Xenopus tropicalis: one gene and its partner. The protein of the gene in region 1 purifies or fractionates together with the protein of each later gene. This does not show direct contact. Links are inferred from orthologs where the notes say so. Each region holds a gene or a part of one and is shown on either strand. Other genes may lie near its edges. The genes, in order: gars1 and gfpt1.

The links.
Region 2: the proteins of gars1 (region 1) and gfpt1 fractionate together in Homo sapiens (co-fractionation; 3 studies listed by BioGRID, with this or other methods). This does not show direct contact. The link is inferred for Xenopus tropicalis from reciprocal best matches to the Homo sapiens genes GARS1 and GFPT1.

What each region holds. Positions count from the first base shown.
Region 1 is NC_030682.2:7,801,947-7,806,356, forward strand, and holds the end of gars1 (glycine--tRNA ligase), read left to right. Parts: intron 1-928; coding exon 929-1,014; intron 1,015-1,952; coding exon 1,953-2,062; intron 2,063-2,239; coding exon 2,240-2,333; intron 2,334-2,770; coding exon 2,771-2,961; intron 2,962-3,357; coding exon 3,358-3,483; 3' UTR 3,484-3,670; downstream 3,671-4,410. UniProt on the Homo sapiens protein: Catalyzes the ATP-dependent ligation of glycine to the 3'-end of its cognate tRNA, via the formation of an aminoacyl-adenylate intermediate (Gly-AMP).
Region 2 is NC_030679.2:122,592,671-122,596,952, forward strand, and holds the start of gfpt1 (glutamine--fructose-6-phosphate aminotransferase [isomerizing] 1), read left to right. Parts: upstream 1-1,281; 5' UTR 1,282-1,381; coding exon 1,382-1,388; intron 1,389-4,282.

The DNA of each region.
Region 1 (4,410 bases):
TGGCACGCTCGGGGCACATAGGCTCTGGGATGTACCACCTGGCACGCTCGGGGCACATAGGCTCTGGGATGTACCATCTGGCACGCTCGGGGCACATAGGCTCTGGGATGTACCACCTGGCGCACTCGGGGCACATAGGCTCTGGGATCTACCGCCTGGCACGCTCGGGGCACATAGGCTCTGGGATGTACTATCTGGCACGCTCGGGGCACATAGGCTCTGGGATGTACCACCTGGCGCACTCGGGGCACATAGGCTCTGGGATCTACCACCTGGCACGCTCGGGGCACATAGGCTCTGTGATGTACCACCTGGCACGCTCGGGGCACATAGGCTCTGGGATGTACCACCTGTCGCGCTTGAGGCACATAGGCTCTGGGATCTACCACCTGGCACGCTCGGGGCACATAGGCTCTGGGATGTACCACCTGTCGCGCTCGAGGCACATAGGCTCTGGGATCTACCACCTGTCGCACTCGGGGCACATAGGCTCTGGGATCTACCACCTGGCACGCTCGGGGCACATAGGCTCTGGGATGTACCACCTGGCGCACTCGGGGCTCATAGGCTCTGGGATGTACCACCTGTCGCACTCGGGGCACATAGGCTCTGGGATCTACCACCTAGCACGCTCGTGGCACATAGGCTCTGGGATCTACCACCTAGCACGCTCGTGGCACATAGGCTCTCATAGGGCATTAGCCAATCAGAAACAAGATGGGACTATTAGGGGGATATTAAATTGATCACCATTCTCTAATTATGTGATACAAGCTTTCCCTAGGGCAGGAACCTATAACAGCCAATCAGCATGTAGAAAATGAACTGGTCACCTGTTTAAAAGCAAATCTCTTATTGGCTTGGGGAGAGCAGTGCCTGTTATTATTACTCACAGGGATAAGATCTTATTGTGTTTATTTCTTTGCAGGGAATTCTCCATTGAAACAGAAGGGAAAACGTTTTTGCTGACTAAGGACATGGTGTCTGTCAAGAAATTCCAGAAAACCATACACGGTAATTGGCCGGTTTTACACACATTTTCATTGCTCGGACTGGGAGAGTCGGCCATTGGGAATCATCTAGTGCCCCCCACTGTCCCTGCTGGTATTAAACTACACTTCCCAGCATCCCCTGATACCCCCTGAGTATATGAGATTGCTTGGCAGATACCCCTATAGGCTAAGGGTACATGGGGGGGGGGTTCTATTAGACGATAGGGGGGTCTTGTCCAGATTTATAAATATAAACGGGTGGGGCAAAAATGGTCGCTGTGTGAATCATTCTTTGCTGCATTTATTAATAATATCTCCCCCCCCCCCACAACCCCGTTTGCTGTATATAATATCCTCAAGTATTGGCCCCATATTATTTGTACATTGCCTTGTTGCCCCCCAAGTAAGACAGTGGGGGTCATTTGTAAACACTGGGCAAATGTGGCCCCTGAGCAGTAACCACGGCAACCAATCATTGATAGTTTGCTATGGGTCATTGCAAATGCGGTTATAAAGGCAAACATGTTGCATCCAAGGCTGTAATTGGCCCCCGTGTATTCTGTATTGTGTGCAGAGCTGCCCCCCTCCCCGGCCTGGTTGGTATGTCCCATTATGGCTGAATAGAATGGGTACTGGAGTCATTGTATTGCTGGGCTTATTGTACGGATATGTACGGGCTCTGCCTCCCACGCTTGGGAACCCAACAATGCGCCGCTCTGCGACTTTACCGGCGCGACACAATAGCGCAGACCTTGGCCGGATAATACAGCGACCAAGGCCGACGCTTCAATAAGCTTTTTACCTGTTGCCATGGGAACGGGTGGCACTGGAACCAGGGGACCTTGAGCTGCAATTAAGCGCAGTTACACGCGTCCCTTTATTTGGCCCGTTACCGGGGGGGGGGGGTCTGGCGGAATCGTCTCATTGCTAATCGTGTCGCAATTTTTATTTTTTTTCCAGTCGAGGAGATCGTGCCCAATGTCATAGAGCCGTCGTTTGGCCTGGGGAGGATCATGTACACCGTTTTCGAGCACACATTCCAAGTCCGACAGGGAGATGAGCAGAGAACGGTAATAAGCCCCCCCATAAGGTGCCAAAAAGTTAACTCATTACTCACCAGAAAAGAAGCTGCCATGTTGTGTGGCCCTTGTAGCTGCTGTACTCTGTGCCGGCCACTAGGTGGCCCTACTGTATCAGCACAACTGCACATACCGCTACTTGTAAATCTGTTGCTTCTGTTCCCACAGTTCTTCACCTTCCCGGCCATAGTGGCCCCGTACAAGTGTTCCGTGCTGCCGCTGAGCCAGAACCTGGAGTTCATGCCGTTTGTTAAAGAGCTGTGTAAGTAATGGCTGCCCCGTGGCACCGTTTATACGGGAAAAGCTGCCAATATGCCAATAAGCGGCTGCTGTTTGTGTGTTGTCAGCTGTTTCCTACTGAGCACAGGGCAAGTGTTTGTGCTCCTCTGTAGCAGGACTACAGTTCCCAGCATGCTCTTCTGCAGTTCTGCCCAAGGTGGTGCAATAGGTAGAGCGCCCTCTGTGGTCAGTCAGGGACTGAATGCTCTGACTGGCAATGTACCAGCAGGGGGGGATAATGAGCCCCATGGCTGCCCCCCAGAGATGTGCCACTGGCCTGGTGCAAGAGGATTAGGTGGATTCTGATTTAGCTGACAGTAATACCCCCCCCCCCCAAACACCCTTTATAGACTGCATTTGCCCTTAAGTATCCCTGGGGCCAGTGTTTCTGTAGCTAAATGCAGTGTTCTGGCCCCGCAGCCGACGCCTTGACCAAGAATGGCGTGTCCCACAAAGTGGACGATTCCTCCGGCTCCATCGGGAGGCGCTATGCGCGGACGGACGAGATCGGCGTGGCCTTTGGGATCACCATCGACTTCGATACAGTGAACCGGACCCCTCACACAGCCACTCTCCGGGACCGGGATTCCATGAGGCAGATCCGAGCTGCGGTAATACAGATATTTATTCATTTGTGCCACACATCAGCTGAACTGGGCAGAACGGGGTGTCTGGGCGTGGCTAATTTGGTGTCTGGGCGTGGCTAATTTTGTGCCTGGGCTAAATTGGTGTGGGGGGGGGGGGGGAGTCTAATTTGGTGCCTGGGCTAATTTGGTTTCTGGGCGGGTGTAATTTGGTGATGGGGCGGGGCTAATTTGGTGTCTGGGTGGGGCTAATGTGTAGTTAAAGGGTCACTGTAGCTTAATTGCATATTATGAAATATTGGGGCGAGTGTAGAATCGGGTTCCATGGTGCCCGTCCCATTGTGCAGGTTCACTCTTGCCTGAGCTGCCATTGTTCCTGCCGTCAGTCTCCCCTATTAATAACATTTGTGCCGTTGCCCATAGGTTTCTGAGCTGCCGGGGATCGTCAGGGACTTGGCCAATGGCTGCCTGACGTGGGCGGAAGTGGAGACCCAATACCCGGTATTCGAGGGACAGGAGACGAGCAAAAAGGACACCTCGGAGGAGTGACCGCCCCTTCCTGCTCTCGGGAACACAAACGCCACTTTTTACCATTGCTGTTAATATCAACTCCCCCCTTTTATCCGCATAAAAATAAAGGGAAAGTAACGGCATTATTTATTGCCGACAGGGACTCTCCTTAATTGTAACCACAACCCAATTCCATTACGGTATTAAATATGTTTGAAATATCAAATATTATTCTCTCGCGTTCATTCCTTGGGGCGGAACAGTCTGACCGAGGCACAGAAATGTCTGTAGAACTCTCCCAAATGACTGCCTCCAACTGGGGTAGACATAGCAATCAGCATAGCTGGGCGGAAGTTGGAGCCAAACTGACCCCTGCAGCTGAACTGCCTGACCCACATAAGTCCATTTAGCCATGTTGAAGCAGCAGTTGGACCCAAACTGACCCTTGCTGCTGAACTGCCTGACCCACATAAGTCCAATTAGCCGTGCTCAAGCGGCAGTTGGACCCAAACTGACCCCTGCAGCTGAACTGCCTGACTGCCATATGTCCATTTAGCCATGCTGAAGCAGCATTGGACCCAAACTGACCCCTGCAGCTGAACTGCCTGACCCACATAAGTCCATTTAGCCATGTTGAAGCAGCATTGGACCCAAACTGACCCCTGCAGCTGAACTGCCTGACCCACATAAATCCATTTAGCCATGTTGAAGCAGCATTGGACCCAAACTGACCCTTGCAGCTGAACTGCCTGACTGCCATATGTCCATTTAGCCATGCTAAATGGAAATTTTTCTTGAATCATTGAGTGGTACAAGAAAACTACTGAACAAATAATAAGCTTGATTGTATGGGGGGGGGGGGGGGGTATACAATCAAGCTCATTATTTGTTCAGTAGTTTTCTTGTACCACTCAATGATTAGGGAAAAATGAGACTTAAGGCGCATTAGGGATTTTCTGCTGCTGC
Region 2 (4,282 bases), on another chromosome or scaffold:
ACCCCAACCCCTGCTCATTGCCACACAATGCCCCTCTACCCCAACCCCTGCTCATTGCCACACAATACCCCTCTACCCCAACCCCTGCTCATTGCCACACAATACCCCTCTACCCCAACCCCTGCTCATTGCCACACAATACCCCTCTACCCCAACCCCTGCTCATTGCCACACAATGCCCCTCTACCCAACCCCTGCTCATTGCCACACAATGCCCCTCTACCCCAACCCCTGCTCATTGACACACAATGCCCCTCTACCCCAACCCCTGCTCATTGCCACACAATGCCCCTCTACCCAACCCCTGCTCATTGCCACACAATGCCCCTCTACCCAACCCCTGCTCATTGCCACACAATGCCCCTCTACCCAACCCCTGCTCATTGCCACACATTACCATCCAATCAGCTTCTCGTCATTATTTACTCTGTAAAGTCTTTGAGTAGTTACTGTTCTTATATGACCTGTTTTTCGCCTGTAACATAAAATATGTTTTTTATTGCCCTGGTGGGCAGAGCAACCAAAAATAGATTGGCTGTAACAATTCCATGTTACTTTTATAACAAATTCTTATCTTTCATTCAGACTATCTCTGCTCATTTCCCACCCTGCCTTTCATTATTTTTCCATCTTTCCAAAGGGGTCACCGACCTCAGGAGCTTCTGAGAGGCTGCAATATCATTTTTACAACTTATCTCCTTGCTCAATTCCTCTCCTGCTCACATTCCAGTCTCTTATTAATACCACTGCCTGGTTGCTAGGGTAAATTAGCAACAAGATCACTGCTGAGTTTCTAAACTTGTGAGCTTAAACAGAAAAAAATGCCTTCTAAATAGACTAACAGACAGATGACAAAAAGACACATACAGGCACATAAATCTGTTACAGACTGAGGCATATATATAAACACTGACAGACACGTACATAGAAAGAAAGTTTGATTCAGATCCTTCCCCCTTTCTTCAATACATTGCTGCGCACGACTTGTTGATCCGAAAGGGTTAATGACGATAGGAAACGCCCCCTCCGCCAGTATCTTTACGCTAAGGAGCTTGGAGGCCCCGCCCACGCTGCGAAGTCACCGCTATCCTGGTGGATCCGGCCACGTCACTGCTGCCAGCAGCACGCCCCGCCTCCCTCCTCTACAGCCATTAAGAATATAAAGATCTCGTAAGGGGCGCGGTCGGAGAAGGGGAGTGCCCAATGAAACTGCTCGCAGCTGGTGACGGCTAAGGAGCTGACCAATGGGAAGAATGAGGGCGGCCGGAGTGACGTCACGGGCCGGTGATGGTCCTTATGTAGGGTAGGTGAGGCAGCTTGGGCAGTGTGTGGCATAGAGAGAGCGCTCCCTATTCACAGATAGTAACATACAGACGGCAGGATGTGCGGTGAGTATGGCTCTTACCCTGCATTGTTGTTGCCCTTCTGCTCACTGTCCCCTCTGGTGCCACTTCCCGCATGCACTGACATCCTTTGCGACATGTCACCTGAGGAGCTGTAAGGGCATCCCCAGTCAGTGCCAGTCCTAGTGGTGCCCCTGAGTGACATTACGTACCCTGAGAGAGTGGCGTTACGTGTGTCTGCGCTTCTTTCCTAACTGCCAGCTCTTATCACTTAGTGGCATTAGGGTGTCCCTAGAGACGGACATTCTCTTGCCTGTACCCCCCATTCTCCAGCCATTCACCTGCAGATCTTCTTAGGCAGAAGCCAGTATTTGGGTTTGTCCCCTGTAGCTGCCATCTCTCTGCTCTCTCCCATTGCCTCAGCACCATACTGTATTATAGTGATTGGTATTGTACCCCCCCCCCCCCCCCCCCCCCCCCGCATTGGGTTATGGGCCTCACCTCTTCTCACTGGGCATTATGTGCCCCAACACAAGGAATAGGGATATGTTATGGGACTGTACTGATGGTGCCGCTACCCTTTCCCATGCATCCCTTGGTGCATTTCCAGCCTGACAGCAATGGTTTCCTCAGCTAGAGTTGCCCTATGTGGGGCCCTTCAGCTTTTAATCATGGAACCTCCGGCTTTCTCTGATAATGACGACTAAGCGATACTGGCCTGAAGCCTTTTTCACTTCTGTCACTTTTAACTGTCAGCTCTAGGTTCCATATTTGCCCCTAGTCCTACTTCCATCTATCCCTGAGGTCACTGGGTTCTTCCCACAGTGAGACACAATCATACTGGAGAGTGGATTATATTGTATTATATTATATTTCTCATACTAAAGAGCATTGTTAGAGTTTGTATCTAGGTGGGTATATGAGAGAGTCTCTGAGTAATGTTTCCCACTAGACTGGCACAGTATTAGGGTACAGGGCAGGGCATTGTCATCCAATACTTTCTTTTCTTCCTCCGTAAACACAGAGTGTAGCAACGAGACCTTCCTCATCATAGAATGTAGTTTAGCAGCCCCATTGTAGTTTCTGGTTAATCTCCCCACGCCCAAGTGATAGTGTTTACTTTATATAAACGCTCATTACCTGTTATGAGCTGTCAATATTTCATAGCCGAGGGAGGTGTCATATAATTGCTTTGTAAAAAAAAATTCCCTTTAGAGTTTTTCCTGTTGGTTGATTTATTTTCAAATGTCCCTAGTTTTGGCTTTTCTTTGGGACGGAGGCACTGTGATGAAAACAAGGTTTTGTTTGTACCTGAGACAAAGGTGCTACAATAGGGGCAGTAGACACAACGACTGCATGGGTGGGGCGTAGCTGTTGGGGGTCCTGACTGATGTGCAGTTGTAGATCTGTGATCATGTTCTGCAATTTGGGGGCCCCTAATATGCTTATCTACTGTAATCATGTACCATAGATAGCTAATGAATTATGGTGATATATATAATATACAAGAGCCATAATAATTTTATTATTCACATTATATATATATATATATAATTAGTGGTGTTGTAGATGTCTTGTAATAGTCTAGTAAAATGCAAATTGCCGTGCTAATATAATTTAGTTGTGCCTGAGTCAGAGCTGATAAGAAATATTAGGTCCTCAGACTGTAACAAGCAGAGTTACTATTGTCATGCCAATCATCTTTACTTTATAATATCAATGGGTGCTTGTATTTGCATTTCATTAGTGGCAGCGTATTGTGCAGCGCTGTATACAAGGGCAGTGATACCCAGACGGCCCGACGGTAGAGCCTATTAGCACCTCAGTTACATACATAAACACTGCTATTTGCATAATTAGCACTTGTGAATGTCTCCTCAGGTATTTATCAAGATAAATTCAATGGATTAACTTGTTCTACAAGACTAGGATTAGAGTAGTTAATTGGATATTGGTGTCTAGTAGAACAGGCATTGCTTGCTTGCCTTCTGAAACTGTGATATTAAGATTTTAGGCCCGTGGTGTAGCTTTGTATATGGACGTTCCTACAATTCTCTTGCTGTGTCCAGAGTATGTACTAAGGCTGAGACATGTTTAGTGCTAAGGGGTCCCATTGTGTCATGTTATCAGCTTCTCTTTCCTTTTCTGGAGAGCCATCCCACGCAGTTTCCATTATTGGGGCCCCGTGCTACTTAATTGCCCAGGTCTATTTAGGGGGCCCCAGTTATTAGGCCTACTGGTCATCTAGGTGGTTTGCCTTGCCAACAAACAAAATGGGGCCCCAATTAAAAAAAAAAAAAGGACCCTGGCATGCATGGTCATTCCCTTGATCTGCCGAGGCCATTCCCCAGTTATGCAAAGCTTTGCCCTCTGCCCACAATCCCTGCAAATTATGATTTTCCTTAGGGAGTTCTTACTGCCCCCTGTAGCCCCCTGATGGCAGCCCTGTCATGGGGTATGAGTGCTGGGAGTATTGTTGCCTTGGGAGGACCATGGCCCCTGTAGGATGCTCTGAACCCATCATTGTAAATCTTTCACAAAAGATATGTCTGAATACTGAATTGAATCTAAATCCTAATTGCAAAATACCAACAACTACACCCCCGGCCCCCAGAAAAAAATAAAAATATCACTTTCAATTGCCTAGTCACATGACTTTAAGGGCTTGCTTTCTGTTGGGCAAGCGTTACGGTCTTGTTTCCAGACACATAGGTCATGCTGAATGCAGAATTCAACCACATTCCCAGGGATTTATTTGGGTTTTCAATTCACCTGAATTCTGGATTTGGCTGCCTAGCCCCATGTTATTAGAGTAATAGTGTTTATTAATTGTGTTTATTTATTTTGCATAAGTTCAGTAATCTGTAGCAGCCAATCAACAATTTGCTCTAATCAGCCTTACTGGAAGATGAAGTTCTGCAACATCTGCTTAACTGCCA